Drosophila melanogaster: one gene and its partners. The protein of the gene in region 1 interacts with the protein of each later gene in a biochemical or structural test. Each region holds a gene or a part of one and is shown in the gene's direction. Other genes may lie near its edges.

What was found. The genes of interacting proteins can lie anywhere in the genome.
Region 2: of the proteins of tld (region 1) and daw, one has a biochemical effect on the other in vitro, tested with the Drosophila melanogaster proteins (one study listed by BioGRID).
Region 3: of the proteins of tld (region 1) and Actbeta, one has a biochemical effect on the other in vitro, tested with the Drosophila melanogaster proteins (one study listed by BioGRID).

Annotation. Positions count from the first base shown.
Region 1 is NT_033777.3:24,747,733-24,754,033, forward strand, and holds tld (tolloid), read left to right. Parts: upstream 1-1,998; 5' UTR 1,999-2,063; coding exon 2,064-2,261; intron 2,262-2,323; coding exon 2,324-2,385; intron 2,386-2,530; coding exon 2,531-2,875; intron 2,876-2,929; coding exon 2,930-3,750; intron 3,751-3,801; coding exon 3,802-4,063; intron 4,064-4,116; coding exon 4,117-4,685; intron 4,686-4,741; coding exon 4,742-5,688; 3' UTR 5,689-5,778; downstream 5,779-6,301. Other genes in the region: tok (tolkin), read left to right, coding at 1-40, 103-365, 425-748. UniProt on the Drosophila melanogaster protein: Metalloprotease which cleaves TGF-beta family ligands daw, Actbeta and myo in vitro. Cleavage of daw enhances its signaling activity. Cleaves dorsal-ventral patterning protein sog. Processes sog more efficiently than metalloprotease tld which also cleaves sog.
Region 2 is NT_033779.5:2,803,584-2,811,295, forward strand, and holds the start of daw (dawdle), read left to right. Parts: upstream 1-1,677; 5' UTR 1,678-2,018; intron 2,019-4,738; exon of another isoform or gene 4,739-4,953; intron 4,954-5,396; 5' UTR 5,397-5,727; coding exon 5,728-6,670; intron 6,671-6,784; coding exon 6,785-7,060; intron 7,061-7,565; coding exon 7,566-7,712.
Region 3 is NC_004353.4:1,078,762-1,086,553, reverse strand, and holds the start of Actbeta (Activin-beta), read left to right. Parts: upstream 1-1,757; 5' UTR 1,758-1,940; intron 1,941-3,280; 5' UTR 3,281-3,427; coding exon 3,428-4,427; intron 4,428-5,346; coding exon 5,347-6,297; intron 6,298-7,724; coding exon 7,725-7,792. UniProt on the Drosophila melanogaster protein: Controls several aspects of neuronal morphogenesis; essential for optic lobe development, EcR-B1 expression in larval brains, mushroom body remodeling, dorsal neuron morphogenesis and motoneuron axon guidance.

The DNA of each region.
Region 1 (6,301 bases):
AACAAGCAAAAGAACGGCTTCACAGCCTCCCACTCCACGGGTATGATGGTGTTGAAATCCTAAGCCATCCGCAATTTCAACATTTCGATAATTTACTTGCAGCCTGTGGGGGCTACTTGCGTGCCACTAGCCAGGTGCAGCAGTTCTATTCGCACGCCCGATTCGGAAACCAGGACTATGACGACGGCATGGACTGCGAGTGGACCATCGCGGCGCCGGACAACAGCTACGTCCAGCTCATATTCCTCACCTTCGACATCGAGAGCAGCGAGAACTGCACCTTTGACTACGTGCAGGTGTTCTCTGACATAGACGATGTGTACGGACAGTATGGACCCATGTACGGACAGTACTGTGGCAATGTGGTGGGTACACCTATTTCGTTTATCCGGAGAACATTTAAGCTAAGCATTATTTACTGCAGCTGCCGCAGGACATCAACTCTATGACACATTCTCTGCTGGTTCGCTTTAAGACCGACGGTTCGGTGCCGATGAAGGGCTTCTCTGCCTCATATGTGGCCGTGCCCAATTCCGGGGAGTATGACCACTCCGACGAGGATGTGGAGAACTCGTACAGCTCCGAGATGGTTACCCCGTTTCCGGGCTCACTGAAGAGCATCTACATCGAGGACACGCAGGAGGAGACCGACGAGTACAGCGACTTCAGCGGCAATCAACTGGTCTTCAATGGGCAGTATCGTGGCCGATATAGTCTGCCCAAACGGTACTACTCCGGAAAGGCATAGGGCTATGGTGGAACCACTGACCGTGCGCCAAAATACATGACAATATATTAAAACGGAATTTATTTAACAGATTTAGGCATATCGTCGCGTACATAAAACAGACTTTCCCGATCTTCCACGCGCACTCTTCTGGCCAAATCCAGGATATAATCAAAGATCCAATACTAGTTTTAGGCACTCGAAACACACATTGTTAGGTTCCAGTCGGCTAAGATCTGCGGTGGCAATTACTTAGACCCCTATGTCATACATGTAATGTACTTTGACTAGACTTCTCTAGACTCTGTAGCTAAATGTGCAATTCCTCTTCCCCCCTTGCATTTGACTGCTTTTTTCTCTGACGCATTTTCATTTTTTTCGGATATCTATATTCTATATTGTGCCATATTTAATGGTAATGATGGAGTGCATTTCCTTAGGCATCTTAGCATAAGTCAATGGGTGGCCCATATCAAAATCAGAACGGAAGTTAGGATAGAAAAGAGATACACACATATCTTCGGAAGCACCGAAAGTGGAGGATCCTTACAGATGGATTGAATTTTTCACACAGGCATATGTACAACTCTCGGATATTTGACTCAACTTAATACGTAATTATATCTATACATATTAAAACTTGCATAGTAACTATGTTTTAAAACCAAAACAAAACGAGTTTGAAGAATGTTATTTACGGACTTTCGGGTTTATGGGCTCATGGATTTATGGCCCTAGGTTCCACCTTGCCACGCCAGGCAGAAGCGCCATGGCTCTTGAATAGCATTTGAAGGTGGAATTACCGCGAAACGATTCGTTCATGCGGCGGATTTACGATCATTAATGACCTGCCCTAAAAGGCACGAACCCGCTTAAGCAACACCTGATCCTGGGCAAATGCCCCTGAGCCCGGCCAGCGACCCAGGTAGATGGCCACATACGCGTACACGTATAGATGGACAATGTCAAGGTGTGAGCAGGAATACCCAAATCAAAATCCATTGAATGCAAACAACAGGCGGCAGACAATGGTCATCCCGAATCGCCAATGAGGAGGGGTAGCACTCAGGTCTGGTTATGGCTCTCGTCTCTCCTTCTATTGAGCCGTCCCTTCGAGCGGTCAGTCGAGATTCTGCAACGGCCTGCCCTGCCACGCCCCTCGTCCACCGATTCCCCTACGAGTTGGGATCTGTTACCTGCTGCTCACTCACTCGATCCGTGGAACCCTTGTCGGCGCACCAGTATAATTCGGCAATCGCAGTCCACGAGCACTCAGTTAGAACTTTGAACTGGTTGAAGCAACTTCAGGGAACGAGCCCCCAGAAATACCCACGCAATGAAAGGAATGCGCCTTATGCCCATGAAAATGAAAGCGAAATTAGTTGTTCTCTCTGTGGGAGCTCTCTGGATGATGATGTTTTTTCTGGTGGATTACGCCGAGGGCAGGCGACTGAGTCAGCTGCCCGAGAGTGAGTGCGATTTTGATTTCAAGGAGCAGCCAGAGGACTTCTTTGGCATTCTGGATTCTTCACTGGTGAGTGGTGGAGTCACGTGGCCCGACCTAAAATTACAATCTTCAGCATTACCCAACAACAGGTGCCGCCGAAGGAGCCAAAGGATGATATCTATCAACTCAAGACAACCAGACAACATTCGGGGTAAGTTCCACTGGGATTTATACCGCACACAATGGTGCGCAATTAGCCCACACACTTGCCTTGGCCACTGGAGTGCTTGCCTTTGGGCACGTAAGTAATACCTGAGCTCATAAGCCCTCCCTGCCCATCTCAACCACCCACACAGGAGACGCCGGAAGCAGTCGCATAAATCGCAGAACAAAGCCGCTCTGAGATTACCCCCACCATTTCTGTGGACCGATGACGCTGTTGATGTCCTGCAGCATAGTCACTCACCCACTTTAAATGGGCAACCAATCCAGAGAAGGCGAAGAGCTGTGACCGTGAGGAAGGAGCGAACTTGGGACTATGGGGTCATACCCTACGAGATCGATACCATCTTCAGTGGAGCCCACAAGGCGCTCTTCAAGCAGGCCATGCGCCACTGGGAGAACTTCACCTGCATCAAGTTTGTGGAGCGGGATCCCAATTTGCATGCAAACTATATATACTTTACAGTCAAGAATTGCGGGTAAGTCTAATATTCGTTCTATGGAGAATTTATAATTTATATCCCATCGAATAGTTGCTGTTCGTTTCTGGGTAAGAATGGGAATGGACGCCAGCCCATCTCCATTGGACGTAATTGCGAAAAGTTTGGCATTATTATCCATGAACTGGGTCACACAATCGGGTTTCACCATGAACACGCCCGTGGTGACAGAGATAAACACATCGTGATTAACAAGGGGAACATCATGAGGGGTCAGGAGTACAACTTTGATGTACTCTCGCCGGAGGAGGTGGACTTGCCTCTACTGCCCTACGATCTTAACTCCATTATGCACTATGCGAAGAACTCGTTCTCGAAGAGTCCCTACCTGGATACCATCACACCGATAGGGATTCCACCCGGAACCCATTTGGAGTTGGGTCAGCGGAAGCGTCTTAGTCGCGGCGACATTGTTCAAGCCAATTTGCTTTATAAGTGCGCCTCCTGTGGACGAACATATCAGCAGAATTCTGGACATATAGTGAGTCCACACTTTATATACTCCGGCAATGGAGTACTCAGCGAATTCGAGGGCAGTGGTGATGCTGGGGAAGATCCGTCCGCGGAATCTGAGTTCGATGCCTCGCTGACCAACTGCGAGTGGCGGATCACGGCCACCAATGGGGAAAAGGTCATCCTGCATCTGCAGCAGCTGCATCTGATGAGCTCCGACGATTGTACTCAGGATTACCTGGAGATTAGGGATGGTTACTGGCACAAATCGCCACTGGTGAGACGAATCTGCGGAAATGTCAGCGGAGAGGTCATCACCACCCAGACAAGTCGCATGCTTCTCAACTATGTCAACAGGAATGCAGCCAAAGGTTACCGTGGATTCAAGGCGAGATTCGAGGGTAAGTTTTAAACTTTTCAAAGAAAAACACAAACTAATTTTTCCATTCCAGTGGTATGTGGTGGGGACTTAAAGCTGACCAAAGATCAGTCCATAGACTCTCCCAACTATCCTATGGACTACATGCCGGACAAAGAGTGCGTGTGGCGGATCACGGCTCCGGATAACCACCAGGTGGCCCTGAAGTTCCAGAGCTTTGAGCTGGAGAAGCACGACGGGTGTGCCTACGACTTTGTGGAGATACGGGATGGCAATCACAGTGATTCGCGGCTCATAGGACGCTTCTGCGGAGATAAACTGCCGCCCAACATAAAGTAAGTTACTTTCAAAGGAAAAATGATCACTAACCAAGTGAATATCCACTTAGAACCCGCAGTAACCAGATGTACATCCGTTTCGTATCCGACTCATCGGTGCAAAAGCTGGGATTCTCAGCCGCCTTGATGCTGGACGTGGATGAGTGCAAGTTCACGGATCATGGATGCCAGCACCTGTGCATCAACACCTTGGGTAGCTACCAATGTGGCTGTCGAGCGGGATACGAGTTGCAGGCAAATGGAAAGACCTGCGAGGACGCGTGTGGAGGAGTCGTGGACGCCACCAAATCCAATGGCTCGCTCTACTCACCATCGTATCCGGATGTGTATCCCAACTCCAAGCAGTGCGTTTGGGAAGTGGTTGCGCCACCGAATCACGCGGTGTTCCTAAACTTTTCCCACTTTGATTTGGAGGGCACACGGTTTCACTACACCAAGTGCAACTATGATTACCTGATTATATACTCCAAAATGAGGGATAATCGCCTGAAGAAGATTGGCATTTATTGTGGTCATGAACTACCTCCAGTGGTGAATTCCGAGCAGAGTATCCTCAGGCTGGAGTTCTACTCGGATCGCACTGTCCAGAGAAGTGGATTTGTGGCCAAGTTTGTAATAGGTAACTTACAGAAAAAAATTAATTTACGTACGATCTATAATATCATTATTCCACAGATGTGGATGAGTGTTCAATGAACAATGGTGGCTGTCAGCACCGATGCCGAAACACCTTTGGATCCTATCAGTGCAGCTGCCGCAATGGATACACATTGGCTGAAAATGGACACAACTGCACGGAGACGCGTTGCAAGTTCGAGATCACCACGTCGTATGGAGTGTTGCAGAGTCCCAACTATCCGGAGGATTATCCAAGAAACATTTACTGCTACTGGCATTTTCAGACCGTACTGGGCCACCGGATACAGTTGACATTCCACGACTTTGAGGTGGAGAGCCACCAGGAGTGCATCTACGACTATGTGGCTATCTATGATGGTCGCTCCGAAAATAGCTCAACATTGGGCATCTATTGCGGTGGACGTGAACCGTATGCCGTTATTGCCTCCACCAATGAGATGTTTATGGTACTGGCCACGGATGCGGGTCTTCAGAGAAAGGGTTTCAAGGCCACCTTTGTCTCCGAATGTGGTGGCTACTTGAGGGCCACAAATCATTCACAGACCTTCTACTCGCATCCACGATACGGCAGTAGGCCGTACAAGCGGAACATGTACTGCGATTGGCGCATTCAGGCAGACCCGGAAAGCAGTGTCAAGATCCGTTTCCTACACTTCGAGATCGAGTACTCGGAGCGATGCGACTACGATTATCTGGAGATCACCGAGGAGGGCTACTCAATGAACACTATCCACGGCAGATTTTGCGGAAAGCACAAGCCGCCAATCATAATCTCCAACTCGGACACCCTTCTGTTGCGATTCCAAACGGACGAGAGTAACTCATTGAGAGGCTTCGCCATCTCCTTCATGGCCGTGGATCCACCGGAAGATTCTGTTGGCGAGGATTTCGACGCGGTTACACCCTTTCCGGGCTATCTCAAGAGCATGTATTCCTCAGAAACGGGCAGCGACCACCTCCTGCCACCCAGCAGACTCATTTAGATAAAATGAGAGGTCCAGCGAAGGGATTTAGAGTTTAATGTTTGTTGTTGAAATTTGTAAATAGATTGTGAATAAAAGATATTTCGAGTCATTTTGTTTACCCTATATTTTATTTTTAAAGGCACATAATATTTATATCTGTGATAATACACATTTGAATTTGGCGCTATAAAACTGTGCAACGTTCACACTGAGGATATCGATTGGTGGTGTTAACACATCTGGGTTACTCACAATTTATGTAAAATTACACAAAATAATATTCCTTAGAATGATCTTATCATATTAAATAATTTATGTTTAAAAATTGCGGACAAATGTAATCCTTATATTTTTAAGTCTATCGAAAACCATTCTGAAGACCCCTAACATTTCACAATCGATAGGTCGAATTGTTCGATAGCCCTTTGCTCCAGCAATCAAGCAATCGAGTATCGGCGTCGCTTCGTTTCGAATTTCAGTTCGAATTTGGATTTGTGCGGCGACGCTCTAATTTGTTTAATTTTTGTTCGTTAATTGTGTTAATTGATTAGTTAGTCGCTGTGTTAATGGACCACTAAGTTAGCTGCGAGCCCGTTTCTGTTTAGTTCAAGTTATTTCTGTTTTGGCCATT
Region 2 (7,712 bases), on another chromosome or scaffold:
AAATAGATTCAAATCGTTTCAATAACTCTATTTTTTGAGTTCACATTCTTAGACTTTACTTTCCTGATCTGTAATTTGAATCAAATGCTCACTAGACAGTCATAGAATTTTCCTGATCAAATGCAAGGCCAAAGTCTAGACGAATAAGGCCATTTATAATCAAATGAAGCGATGAATAGTTCAGAAAATATTAGAATGAATCTTTAGATGTTTAAGGTAACTTTAAGCTTGCAGTTCAAACGTGTAACTAAAGTCATAGTACCCCTATCAAGGGTATAAGCATCATATATTGTTGACTTAATTATGACACCAAAACACTGTTTTAATTAAAAACTGAAATTCCAGAGGCCCGGCCACGATAAGCCGTGCATTGTGACGTGTTTTTCAGCACGCGCGCCACATTTAAAAATTAGACGTTTCGAGTGAGATTTTGCCTCGATCCTGAGTATACAAATCACGAAAGGTATATTGTGCGATTCCATCGCATTATATTTGAGGTGAATGCTTTATTGTGAAATCTCAAGGTAAACAAAACTCGGAACGGACTTAATCAGTCGATTGGCATGAGGTTTGAAAGTGAAACACAGCGATACGCAATCAGAGCCAGCATTTAATTAATATTAGCCATTTACATACTATTGTCCTCCGAGGTAATCTCAAGAGACCCATGCTCGACGGGCGTGAAAACTTCAAAATTATGATATCACACATGGTAATCAATTGAAGCAGCCAGCAAGTTAAAAACAAGAAACCCCAAACGTCGTAAAAGCCACATCGTAAATTGGTCAAGAGGAAAGCGATTAGCTGGCCAAGAGCTAAACAAAAACAGGAAGGCATACGTAGGGTGGAGTCTGAAATTGAGTATACTTAGTTCATTCGTTATATTACATCTAATTGTTCAGTCTTTTACACGACATTGTTTGCATATTCTTCGATGATACATATGTACTTTCTTCTAGCATTCATGGTTATACGTCAATTTTAGTCATACCTCTCGCTAGTACCGCTTATTAATAGACATTGGGCCATCAAAAGAAAGCGATGGTATCGCTTTGGCTGTGAGAACCAATCGCCATTAGGCAATGTCGGCTATCAGGGAAAGTCAAAGGCAATCCGCTGGACTGGACTGCCGCTGAACTTTGGACCGGTTGGATCGAGCGATAAAACCCCACCGGCACGACGTCAGCTCACGTTTTTGGGTGACGAATGCTGGGGCTCGATCCTCATTCCCAACAAGCTCGAACTCACGAACGGCCATCGAACATGTAGCGCCGGCCAGCGAACTTGTTCGATGCTCCAGCCTCGAGCGGCGTGGGTGTTCGATGCAGGAGGCGATCGGATGGGAGCCAACCGGACCTAAAACGCTGCTGTGTGGGCCAGGGGGGAAAGCCACCCATTATCAGTGGCTCTCCCTGCTCTCCCTCTCTCTCTCTCTGTCGCACTTGCTGGAAGCAAAGTAGAATTGCGCATCGCTTAAAACGCAGAGCAGCGGAGTGCGCCAATGATCGGCGGCGTGTCTGTTATCAAACAAACTGAAACTCAACTGTCTGCCGCCCGAAGAGTGGGCCATACCCATACCCATACCCATACCCAGGCCCATACTCACACCCATACCGCTCCCCACAGATACCGTTAGTCGTACCGCTCCAGGCTTTTGTGGCCGCTGCGCCGCCCATCGTCGAATTATTCACACGCAGACGTTCCCAACGATCGGATCGAAAATTATTCAAATCGTGCAAATCGTACATGAAACTTGGTGTGAACGAATAATACTTTATGTTTCTTCAAAACATTTGTTTTTGCTCAGCGAAATATCAGCTCGTCATTTTGAGGAAATCAAGTTCAAGTGGTGAAATTCAAAACAATAATGAGTTTGCGAAAGTGATTTGCGAAAACAAATAAACGGACAATCGATTGTAGAATCACTCAAGGACATTTGATAAGCATCCCTTTTCGCAGAAGATTGCAAACAATGTGCTAAGTTATTCAAGCATTTTGACAATGGATTATTAATTTGGGTGAGTTACATAACACAAGGGCTTATTGTGTAAGAAGTTTAAATAAAAGTGCCAAAAATGTGAATTATGGAATCAGCCTCAACATGGGATACTAGAAATTGTATATTTTTTTTAGCAGTCTAATGCTCAATATCAGTTATTACCAAATCGCAGGGAAGTTTCTAGTTTCGCTTTTGGAATATCATGCCGTAATTAAAAACTAATCATGCAGTGAATGGTTTATCGATCAGAGGCCTATCTATCACCGATTGATTGATTGATAGTTTTCGAGCCTATAACCCAGGCGCATAACCTCCAAAAGCTCTTGGCGAATTTCGGCCACGTCGAGAGTCATTGGCCAAATTTAGTTGCTACCAATGATGATCTTATTTAATCCTGCACTTGATTTATGGTAGCATCGCCGATGAGCGTGTGGCGAGAAAAGTATTATGGCAGATTAATTTGCGACGCTTCGGGCCTCTGGCTTCTGGCAATCGGGGCAATCTCCGTGAGCGGTTCCAAAGTCCAGATCGTGGCATGCTCCCAACCGCTGATCGGCGAGAACGGCGTGATCGCCGTGATTTATTGCCAAAAACCGATGGAAGCAGCCGTGTTTTTGTCGCAGTGCATTCAACTGCTGCGCGCGAAGAAGAAATGCAAGTGATAATTGCCGGCAATTACGATAGCCCCACTCCAAGTCCGAGTCCCAGCCCCACATCCAGTCCCAGCTGCCCCGTAATTAATGCGAAAATGATACGGGCAGGCCCATGGAAAACCCCCAAGCAGAGTCGCTTAGTCAAGAAGCCATCTCCATCAAGCGGCTGTACTTTGCACCTCCAATCGACGCATCGCCAGACCCCCAACTCCCCATTCACAGGCACAGCAGTTTTTTGCTCCGATTTGCATCGACATGGCAACCGCGGAGTCTTCACTACAGCTTTTGCTTCTGATCACGCGCTGGTGGCGTGCTCGATGACGTAGCCATGACTGCCGGGCGTTAAATGACCTTCTTCAACTTCTGTCCCCCTTCCCAGCGGCACCCCTTTTCCGCGGGCCCCCATCACATCGCAGTCGCACGCCTCGGCTTCGATTCCTGCCTTTGATAAGTCGGTCAGTCAAGTCAGTCATTAAGTCCAGTGCAGTGCGGACAGCTCGAGTTACGTCAAAAACGAAGAGTACGTACAAAACGTGTCACATGTCGCGTGTGTGCTACAATCCAAGCCCTGCTTCCTGATCCGATCCCCATCCATTCTATCAGATCCCATCCCATCCGATCTGATCCGTCATTATGTGGCCCCCAGTCGCTTTAATCGACGTCAGGTTGGTTGTGTTGGAAAAAACAAAATGGAGCAGATTTTGGAACGTGGCAATCTACGTAGGTTGTGGAAAAATATGCGATGAGTTGATAAGTGGTGCGACATATGCTGAAGGCCAGGACGTCATTTAAATTGGAAAAGGGCCACTGGAAAAGTGTAATACCTTATGTAACTTATGGGAACACGTAAAACTAAACTTAATTGTGCAAGTCAAAGGTGTCATAATCTAATATGAAATTGGGGAGTATGCAATACTTATAGTTGTTTATTGTATTATTTCCTAACAAGAACCCCTATTAATTTGCTTTTGCTTAAGCCGCACCAACAATGTTGCCAGAATTCGCTGAGGCCTACAAAATTTCTATCAATTAAACGGACCTTCTCCTCCGTATAGTATAGATCATTTCTATTCGTCTCGATGATCTAATTGGGTTCAGAAAAATCACAGTTCGTGACAAGCGAATCGGGCACGTGTTCAGCATTTAAGGCTAAATCGAATAGGCGGTATAATATAACTCGTGATCTGCCGGCCTTCAAAATACTTTTCTTGACCTTACTCGACTGCTTCACATTTAGCCGAGACCAGAAATTCTGGCTGATGAAATTCCCAACCGAAATACTCATGAATTTCCCATTCGCATTTAAATTGGAAAACAGACACACTATGTATTTGAAATGCGCATCTATTAACCGAATCCGATTAGGATTGCCCAGAATCGCATGCTAAGCGTACTTAATTGGTTAAATGCCGCACTACATATTCCATGCTCCCGATTTGTGGACCAAAAGTGGGAAACCGCCCCTTATCAGCAACGTGTTCACTATTAATTGATTGACACACAATCGAGTCGGATCATCAAAGTCAAGCTTGATAACGCTGCGGGGTAATTAGCATGAATGGGCCACTCGACTCGATTCGATTCGATTCGATTCGGTTTGAAGCGATCATAAATTCACTTGATATCAAAATGCCCCATTGTGGCCAAGCGAGTGCCAAAAATGCCAACAGATAGTGACGCCGCCAACTGGGGGCGTGGCATTGTCAGGGTGGCGGGAGGTTAAAAATAAAATTGCAATTAAGAATTTTATGCAATTCGGTGGCTTGGCGTTTTCAAGAAGCTGATGCAATGCTGCACCCCACTTGCATATCCAATTGTCTTCGGCTAAAGAGAGAGCGCCATGTAGCCATAACCATGGTCTATAGTCATAAATCGAGACCCGAACCGCTCGGCTTGGATCCGAGTCCGCAACCGATACGAAACGATCCGTCAGATACGATGCGATTCGAGTGGTTCGGATTGTTTCGGTTCGGTTCGGTTCGGTTCGGCTGGCGCTCGCGGAACGATCAATCAAACGCTCGGCGATCGTCACATAAATTGTTCTACTAATCAGCCAACCGCTTCATTCATTCACAACTCGTTTGCGCTGCCGCATGTCGGAAGAGAAAGAAGCACCATACTATATCATAGACCATACCACAAGTGGAATACTATATAGACGCGCGATCCCAGCTATAGCTAAAGGCCCGTGCCACTCGTGTTTCGTGTCCGGGTTCAAAGTTAATGCCGCAACCCCCGCCGGATTCATCCGGCTGAGCAGATTCAGATCCCATTGGAGCAAATCGGAGTGTGCTCACCACGGTACGTGTGGGGTCCACGTCCACCTAATTGCCATCTAATTGAGCCCGCTTATCAGCGGATCTGCGCAACTACGCTTTCGATTTGAGTCGCACTTGGGGCAAATAGCCCATGTGATAATGTGAAATTGAATACTGAACTAAACTAAATCTTCCCGGAATTAATGTCAAAAAAACGATTTGCACTTTGCCACCTGCCAATTCGAGCTCAACGATATGGAATAAATGATGCAATTTGGTGCAAAAATTAAGCGAGACTTCGGGCTTAGTGAGTGATAGTGATAAATGCACCTGATCCGCTGGCATATTAAATTGCATTTTAATTGGGGCAGCGCGTTCGCAAATATTTATGAGAAAATTTAGGGCATAGCTGTTTTAATTTATTTGATTAATAATCGGAATGTGCTTACAATATTAACTAAGTTACAAATTTCTTCTTATTTGCAGACGAAACTTAACGAAAAGTTTAAAATATTGAACATGCATCATTCAAGCGTATAAGTCGTTGTTATATAAAATCATAAAAAACGCATAAACGTTTTAAAAGTGCTTAAACAAGGCTATAAAACGGCAACAATAAGTGAAACCAGCTGCAATTCTATGAGTTTTGTAAACCTGAAAGCCGGAAAAATTGATGTTTTAATGCTGCCAAACAGATAGCAATCAGCCCCAGCCGACAAAACAAGAGTGAAACCAAAGGCGATCCAGAAGATCATAAGATACATATAAAATATCTCACAGTTAAAAAAAAAGAGAAGTCATAAGTACATATTCAGAAATGGCCAAGTACTTTATAGCCCTGGTGTTGCTGGTGTGTCTGGCCCTGGAGAACAGGAACGTATACAATCGCCTGCACGCCCGCTCCCATCCGAGTTCCCGTGGCGACATCCTTCGTCCGCATCCTAAGCACCAGCCGCATCCCCATGTGCAGCACACCTCGCAACAGCTGCAGCAGCAACACCATATCCGGCAGCAACGATCCCGTCAGCTGAAACACCTGGAACCGGATCCGACCAGCGAGGAGGACGATGTACCGATCACCAAGCGGGAGTACTATGCCCGCCTGAGGCGCCACGTCATCCACAAGAGGCAGCACCTCCTGCAGCAGGAGCTCAGCTACAACCATCCCGGCTCCCATTCGGAGCAGCTAAAGGTGCCCCGCCTGTGGCAACACCTCATGGAGCAGGAGGAGAAGGCACACCGACATGTGAGCCCGCCCGTGGAGTTGCCTATCATGTACGGAGATGCCCCCGAGGAGTCATCCCTCTCCTCCGATGATCACTTTGATGATCTGTCGCCGCTGGACTTTGTGCGCAACGAACTGATGGCCGAGGACCAGCAGAATCAGGAGAAGGATCTCGATCTCGATCTGGACCTAGATCAGCAGCCGGAAACGCCCATAGAGCCAGAGCTCCCATTGGGTGAGAGGAACATCACCATTTCGGTGAAGTCCAGCGCCGGAGGATGCCCCAAGTGCGAGAGCAATCGCCAAGTGGAGCACATCACCGAGGAGCAGCTGACCCACTTACGCATCGAGTTCGTTAAGCAGCAGATCCTGGAGAAGCTGCGCCTCAAGGAGAGCCCCAAGGTGTCGGCCGTGGAGCTGCCCAAGCCCATCTTCGACGGGATGACACTCTCCCATCCGGACGATAGCACCAAGAACAAGGAGCTGGACGATTACTACGCTCGCACTAGCAAGAAGTTCATACTGCTCAATAGAGGTAAGCAAATCTAGATTTAAGCACTAGAAAGTAAAGATTGAAGCTTAACTTCAAAGGGAATCCTTTTACCATTCTGATTTTGCTAACACAACCCTTTATCCTTTATTTTTACAGAGGAGGTCGAGTGCAACCGAGCGAGAGATGGAAAATCCAATCCGTCCATGTGCTTCACCTTCAAGATAGACGACGCAGATGCCGAGGGCTTCGACGTGAGCACCGCCGTCCTGTGGCTCTTCAAGAACAAACAGAACCGCACCGACACGGCATCGGTGAACAGCACCAGTGCCCAGCAGACGATCGTAGTCTCCGAGGTGGAGGTGGATCAGCAGAAGGACTCCAAGTATTTGTCGGCGGCCAAGACCATAGCCATCCAGTCGGTGAATGTGCAAGGTGGGTACACATAGTATACATTAGTATAGCATAAACACTCATCCCCCCAGAGCGTAATCATGCCCAGAAAAGAATCGCACACGTTTGGACCTTTGGTCGGCAGCCGCGGAACGGCCAAAACTGACCCTCAATACCCTCGGGGGACAAATCAAAATATGTGACATGTCTATACTAGATGGGTATTATAAAAATTATAAAGAACGCCGATAAGTGCCAACGTTGACAACCGCTTGTTTGTGTTTTCAATTAGACAGATCATTGCGCAGATTCGTGATAGCACTGCTTGATAGCTCGGCTCGAATCTGAAATTCATGTGGGTGAATAACTTGACAAAGCATTATTCGTGGGTGCAAAAACTGAACTTTGGCCACAACCCAGCACAGTTGTGAGTTCCTGGGGTCAGTTACCAGATAAGAAAGATGGGATCTACGATTCTGGGAGAAGAGAAGATGGCTCTGTGGAACCCCCAACTAACCGCTCTGCCTTTCCTTTCGCATACTTTCAGATGAGTGGATGAAGATCGACATTGAGTGGCCCATCAAACACTGGATCAGTGGCCACGAGCTGAGCCACCTCATCCAAATCACCTGCGGTGGCTGCGATGTCAGCGACATGGAGGAGATCATTTCGGTGGACAAGGATTACCGGCCAT
Region 3 (7,792 bases), on another chromosome or scaffold:
ATAATACATATAGTTATTTCCGGAGATTTTCGGGAGCCGAAAGTTAATACATACAGACAGAAGGGGCTTTAACAAGTCGATAGCACATAAAACCAGAATAACATGATATCGGCAAACTAAGGTTTATATACTCTTCCAATTAAAACAATGTCTTGGATAAAGTTTTTTAACCCGTGCCACTAACGTAGACGACCGATACATGCCAGTCAGTCCCCTTGTCCGTCGGTCCATCTTTATAAAAGTCAAAACCTATAAAACTATAGATATCAAAAAATTGAAGTTATCCGTCCAGATTCTAGTAACTCCTACGAGGCTTTTGCTTGTATCAAAACGTAAATTATTTATTTGTTATGTCTATGTACATGTATGTATATGATGAAAACAACCAACAACAAAATATTCGTATTCTATTTCTAGTTTGATGCAATCGTTTCGAAGGAAGTAAAAAGTAAATGTAGCCAATAATTGTAGGTATTCCGGTGAAGTTACGTATACATCCTCTTTGTTCTTTCTGTTAAATATTCTTCAGAGAGTACGGTTTACCCTTTTTTTGTTAACAAGTAAAGGATAAAGAAATATTATCTGCTGGGCTTTTCCTTATATCGATTTGCATAACTAAAATCAGCAAAATAATAGAATACTTACTCGAATTTCACATTTGGAAAGTATGTAACAACCAGAAGGAAGCGTTTCCAACCATATAAAGTGTGATCAGGATCAATAGCCGAATCGATCTGGCCTTGTCCGTATGTCCGTGTATCCGTGTGTCCGTCCGACCGTCTGTCCGACCGTCTGTTCGACCGTCCGTCTTTCCGAATGAACTCGAAATCTCATGTACTGTACGTAAACGTAAAAGCTTGAGATCAGCATACAGATTCAAGCGACATAGACGCAGCGCAAGTTTGTTGACAGATGTTGACACGACCACTCTAACGCCCACAAAGCGCACAAAACTGGCACGCCCACATTTTTGAACAATTTGTGGATAGTTTTTCATAATTTCATCTAACGCCCACAAACTGCACAAAACTGCCACGTCCACACTTTTGAAAAATGTTTTTATATTTTCTCATACATACTTTTTCATACAAGACTAATAATCTTGTAAATTTCTATCGATCTGCAAAAAACATTTTTGCCACGACCACTCAAAGCGCTAAAATCGACCAAAACTGCTACTCCCACGTTTATGAAAATGTATTGGATATTTTTCATAATTTTATTAGTCTTGTAAATTTCTATCGATTTGCCAAAAAACGCCCAATATAAAGCCCGCAAACCACGAATAACAGGTATAACAATTTTTTCCCATTTTATTTCCCCCTAATATCGATATCCCAGAAAAATGATGAAATTTTGCGTTCGCATTCGTACTAGCAAATGAATATAATATTAATATTTATATCTTGATTTGAATCTAACTGAATTGGACGTAAAGTTTTACAGATAAATCTGTTAATGTTTAGGCGCACATAGATCGACACAAGATCGACTGCTAATTTGGAATTTTGGGTAAACGATTCCATCTACGCTTAACAACATTTTTATTTATTAGTTACGATTACGATTTAAAAATGATTTAGGTTATTGAAATTCATCCATTTGAATCTGCCGACTTTTTAATCGTGAAAGGAAGCATATATCGATAGCATCGATATTCTTTCTAATTTGAATGGCAACAGATATTTCTGGTGCAAATATGGCAACGCTGAAATATTGTTATTTTCAAGAAAGCTTTTGAAAAGCTTAAAGTGTCATCTTAGTTTCACAAAGTATGCAATGTCATTTAGCAACCAACGGAGATACAAAATATTGTTTCCGTGCTAAAAGGAAAAGCATAATACATTTATAAATCGTGAAAATGTGATAGTGTCCCTAATATTTCTCGTGAAGAAATATATTTACTTAGTTGAAAATTTATTGTTTCTAAAAAGAAAAAGGTGATACATATTGTTACATACACTGATCATAAGCCTATACACATAACCACCTTCCTTCTTACATATGTACAAATTTTTTTGTTGAACGCATGCTTTTAATTCCTCTTCATCCCTTTCCGCTGCTAGGCTTCTAAGTAACCACCATTCAGGCGTAGGTCTTTTCATCTGGACACAGTCTGTGTGTCGCCTTGAGTTCTTCAGAAGGGACGGATGAGTCTGTCTGTCCGCTTCTGTTGGTGCATGGTATGAAGTATTTCTGGCGTAATAATAACTGTGCCATCCGAAGCTCGGCGTCAGGTTTAGACTAATTTTAATGTGTTGTACCCTTTCAAAGTGTATATTGATTTAAGTCAGTTTCTTGCAACGCAGTAAAGGAGACAATTACGACCACACGAAGAATATATGTTCATCTGTATGGCTAGCAGTAAGAGCCGTAACCGTCCGTCCGTTTCAACGCAAACTGGTTCAATTACTGGTTAATTATCAAGTAAACAAGTATTCGGAGAATATATCATTTAAGATTTGTATACCCGTATATATATTCCCTTACTCGTAGAATCAAAGGGTATACTATATACGTTAAAAAGTAAGTACCATGTAGAAGGGAGCATTGCCGAGCATACAAAGTATATACAGGGTGCGGCAGCATAATTTCCTTTTTCAGAACTCAATGAAAACTATTGTAGGCATCGGAAAAAATTTATTTTTTTTTATATTGTACGTACATGTCATATTTTTTGAAGATGAAATCTGATAGGTGACGTCCCCCATTCTCCATACATTGCGTAAACCGATTTCTGGCGTTTGTCGTGAGTCTTGTTAGCATGGCAGGTGTTATGATGGCAATTTCTTCTTGGATGTTGGTTTTCAAATCTTGTAGGGCTCTTGGACGGTTCACATAAACACGGGACTTCAAAAAACCCAATAGAAAAAAATCACAAGGGGACAGATCGTGCCGGCCATTCCAAATCGCCTCTAATTGAGATAAGGCGCTCTGGAAAGTGTTCCCTCAAAACAGCCATCGATGCTCTTGAAGTATGTGCTGTTGCACCGCCTTGTTGGAACCAATTTTTGTATATAAAAAACACTTTGGCCACAAAACGAGCGAAACGGTCACGCCCACATTTTCAAACAAATTTAAAACTTTTTCGTATCTTTTTGCACAATATTTATAAATATCCCTGAAAAATTATGAAACTTCGCATCGGGGAAGTCGACTATAGCTTTCTCCGGTGTTTTTAATTTATTTGCCAATTTGTAGCCTCCTCTCTTGTTTAGTGTCCATATTAATTTCCAGTTAGCTTACCACTTATCTAATCGAAAATTTGTATTTTGAACAGGCAGACGAAATGAACGACAGAAAGGAAAGGAAAGGAAAAAGATTTGCAATGATTAAAAAAATATTTACCAGAAAAATAAAATTGACAATACTTGTACCACGTTTCTAAGGGACAGTGCCTGTACTACACGCTTGCCATATATCAAAGATGCGATTTGCCTTCGATTCTAATCATTCGCAATCGGGGGCGCCATTCAAAGGCAGCAGGTGTTTCTTTAATTGTCAATGCATCTGCTGTCGCCAAGGATGCTGCGTTGTGGTTGTAAAGTGCTGTTGCTGCTTTAACTTAAACTGCTGCAACAGCCTTGGCTCCCGGAAGTCATTTCCACAACCCGCTGCAATGCGTAAAAAAGTTGCTGACCTCGAAGTCCTTAGAGTATCAAGGTTTGTGGCGGTTATTTTAGTGCTGGCTCGGTGGGTTACTGCGGTAGCGACACTCCTGACAAGCTGCATACTCCTAGACATATTTTCCGTGCCTGGCCAGTCTGGAGTTGCAGATAGAAGCCAAGCCAGCAGTAGGACAGTGCACGTCTCGGTTCCTACCACACCTAATGAAACTCCCAGTAGCACTTCGGAGACGAAGCTAAAGTTGCTTTATGGGTATACATCGTATGACATAAATAACGACCAACAGGTAAAGTCCAACAATTTATGTAGAGTGCTTTGTAAAAGTCGCAATCGTAAACGACAGCGAAGGAGGCGACGCCGACGCAATCACAGACGACGCAGGCACAGATATACTAAGCGACTTCATCATCTAATGCAAGATAATATGAGCGGCTTTGAGCAAAGACTTAATTTTAGCGATGCCAAATGCCAGTCTTTGGAGACAAATTACGGAACTAATTATGACTTAGTACAAGGAGGTAAACTATTTAGTCAGTCAGAGAGAAGCCTACTGGTGTCCCCTTTGAGGGAAATTGAAGCACCTTGGCCAGCGATTCATGGTTCAATGCGTAACTGTTCAAAGATTAAACGCAATAGAGCCAATCTTATTTGGCTTCTAATTGGACTCGTCTGGTTTGAAGTCAAACTTATAAATTGCAATGGGATCAGCAGTAGTAATTATTATGCTTCGAATTTGGAGAGTCACAAGGGCTGCACCTTGTGCCATGAAAGCGGAAAGCCCAACATATACACCGATAAAGGTCAGTTTTCAAAAAAATTTTTTACATACTGAATATAGGGTAATCTTTTAATATTCTTATTGAGACTAAAAAAAACTACATTGAGTTTGGCGTTATTAAGATAAAACAGATGTGAGTTGTTGTGAAATAAGCGGTTATCGTACTGTACCAAAACTATTGCAATGCAGAATTTTTTGTAAAATAAATTTAATTTGTAAGATTTTTGTGCTATTTTTAAGTAAAATAAAATCATTTTCAATGATTAAATTAAATATCTATTGACAAATGTTGTACCACTAGTAATGTAAATAATATTTAATACAAGGACCACCCGCAGTAAGCCTGGGATATTCATACCCCCTTAAAAGGGTAAATAACAAAAAATACAAAATATCTAGAACAAATTTTCATAGTCTGGGTGAGTTTTTATCTTAATATTGCAATTTGTTTATCTTAAGGATTGGAAAAATTTGCTTGCTACACGATTAATTTCGTACATATTTTTGAATTAAAACATTACGAGTCTTGAAAGGTATTCCTGTCTCGTCTAATTTTATTGTCATAAAATAAAAAAATTATATATTGTTCTTAACGTAAAAACGAAGGAAATGTCGCTCCAGTGACGTAAATATGTACAATACTAGTCAAACTCGGTATTGCAAAAAAAAACAGTAGAGGTCATAGGCGCTGGATTTCAGAAACTATAAATAGATTTGATTATTGATTTTATTTCTTTTCGAGATTTTTGTGAACCATAAAAATAAATCCAAATCTTAAAATAATAATGCTAGCAAGACAAAAAAATATTTTTAAAAAACGATAAAACTTGTGTGATATCGGGTAATGAAACTTTACTAAAAACATAAAAACACTCCATACAACAACAAAAATTTATATAATGAATTTTACATAACACTTTACAATTATCACATTCACACAGATAATCCACACACAGACTACAACATCTACAACAAATACCATTCCAACAATAATTTCAACAAAAAAACTAATCAACCCCATAACAACATTGCACCCAGCGATGAAGTTCGTTTGGAGTCAATAAAACGGCAAATTTTGACAAAGCTTGGTCTTAGCCACAAGCCTAATGTATCTCATCCTTTACCAAAGCAATTTATTTGGGAAACAATATATCGAGTCGATGGTGGACGAATGATACCAAACAATGCATTTGGGAGCAGTGGTAAGAATTTAGATCAGAAGACTATCAAGCTGAGGGCGTTTGCCTCGCCCGGATCACATTTGTTTAATGGCCGAGGTGGAAGGACCGATCAGAGAAGCGAACGGGATCCCAGTCATCATAAATATCGATCCCCGTTCGATTTCACTTTCAATATAAGTAAAAATAATGTATATGGGAAAGTATTGAGAAATCGTTCTTTAGAACGAATCGATAAAAAAAACTCATTCTTAAACGGATGGACAGAAAACCGTCAATTAAAAATAAACTCTCAAATTGCATCTATGCCTATAGAACTAAAGAGCCACCATAACAGTAGTCCTAAGGAGCTTAAAAGCGGAGCGGTCAGAAAAGTTAATGGCATCAACGGCACACAAATGAATGAGAATGCCTTAAAAAAATCTACATATCCTATAGATATAAATCATAGTATTGATAATAAAACCCATACTGGCAAAAATGGTGAGATGAGCCACAATGATTATGAATATTTTAACGATTACAGTGTTCAGACTCATGATAAAAACCGGTACCATGAAGGTCGCTCTAGCATTGGATATCAGCCAGCGATCCACAACATAGAATATGAAAATCAGAAAGGACATCACGAATCTTTTGCTGATGATCATGAAAATATTGATCATGAAGACTTCTTTGGAAATACGCAGGAAATAATTACATTTGCTGAAGAGGGTGAGTAGATTTTTATTCAACACAGGATTAAACGCTATCGTCGAGGGCAAATTAAAAAATAAGAGACGTCGAGTTCGCCGACTATCAGATACCTGTTACTATAAATAAGTAAATATAAATTTTATTTTATACCCGTTATAACTAGTGGGTACGCAAACGCGAAATTTCATAATTTTGCTGGGATATCGTTGGATATTACGGGGAAATAAAATGAGAAAAAAATTGTATAATTCTTTAATAGTGAGGGAGTGAGCCTCTTGGGCGTTTTGTTGGTGAAAGGATGTGCGTGATCACAGTGTTTTGGTATACCGGTGGAAATTAGCAAGACAAACAATAAAACAAAGAAAAATCTAAAAAAAATTTTCTAAAGTGTGGGCGTGGCAGTTTTTTGGCAAATCCATAAAATTTTAAAAGACTAATAAAATTATGAAAAAATATCCACAAATTTGTCAAAAAAAAAAAATTGTCGGCGGCATTTTTTGGGTCGTTAGAGTGGGCGTGGCAAAAAGTTTGTTGACAAATCGATAAAAAAAAATGTACAAGACTACAGACTAAAAATATGAGAAAATATCAAAACTTTTTCAAAAGTTTTCGGAGGTTTGTGGGAGTTGGCTCAACACACGTGCGATGCGTTTAGGTGTCTACAATCGGTATGCTTCTAGCTAGTATGCTTCTAACCTTCTAGCTTTTATAGTTCATGAGATCTAGACGTTCCATACAGACATGGCTAGATTGATTCGGCTATTGATCCTGATCAAGAATATATATACTATATATAGTCGGAAACGATTCTTCCTGCCTTTAACATACTTTACTATACTATACTATACTATATACTATAGTTACTATTATATATTATTATATTATAATATATATTAATATATAGTAATAGTAATATACAGTAATAAAAATAAGAAAGAGTGATCGTGCCCAAAAAACATTAGGCAAATCAGTAGAAACCGGCTTGTGGCGGTATGTATGGCATACCGATAGAAATTGGCAAAACAAATTATATAATGACTAAAAATAAAAACGCTTTCTTAAAAGTGTAAGCGTGGTAGCTTGTGAGAGTGCTTCTTCTCTGAAATTTTTAATTTTTTATCTGAACTTTCTAGATTTTACAGGCCCTGACATCGATACGATCGATATGGACAAAAACGAATATATTTAAATACGTTATATTAAAGTTGAAGTAGTTGAGGTTTTTTTAATGTCTACCAATATCCGCCATCTCTAACGCCTACAAAACGCTTAAGAGTACATTTTATATACAAAGCTTTGATTTTTAGTTAACTGTACAAAAATTGTAAACTTTACAATATATCTGTTTTTGAAGAAAAAAAACAATGCAATATATTTTTTTGTAATTCGCTCATATGACTGTGTGTAGTCTTCTTATTCATTGGCATAATATATTTTATTTTAAGGAACCCAATATCGACAATATCGAATACTCGAGTTTTCGGCCCAAAACCGCCGTGTTCCCAGCCAAAAA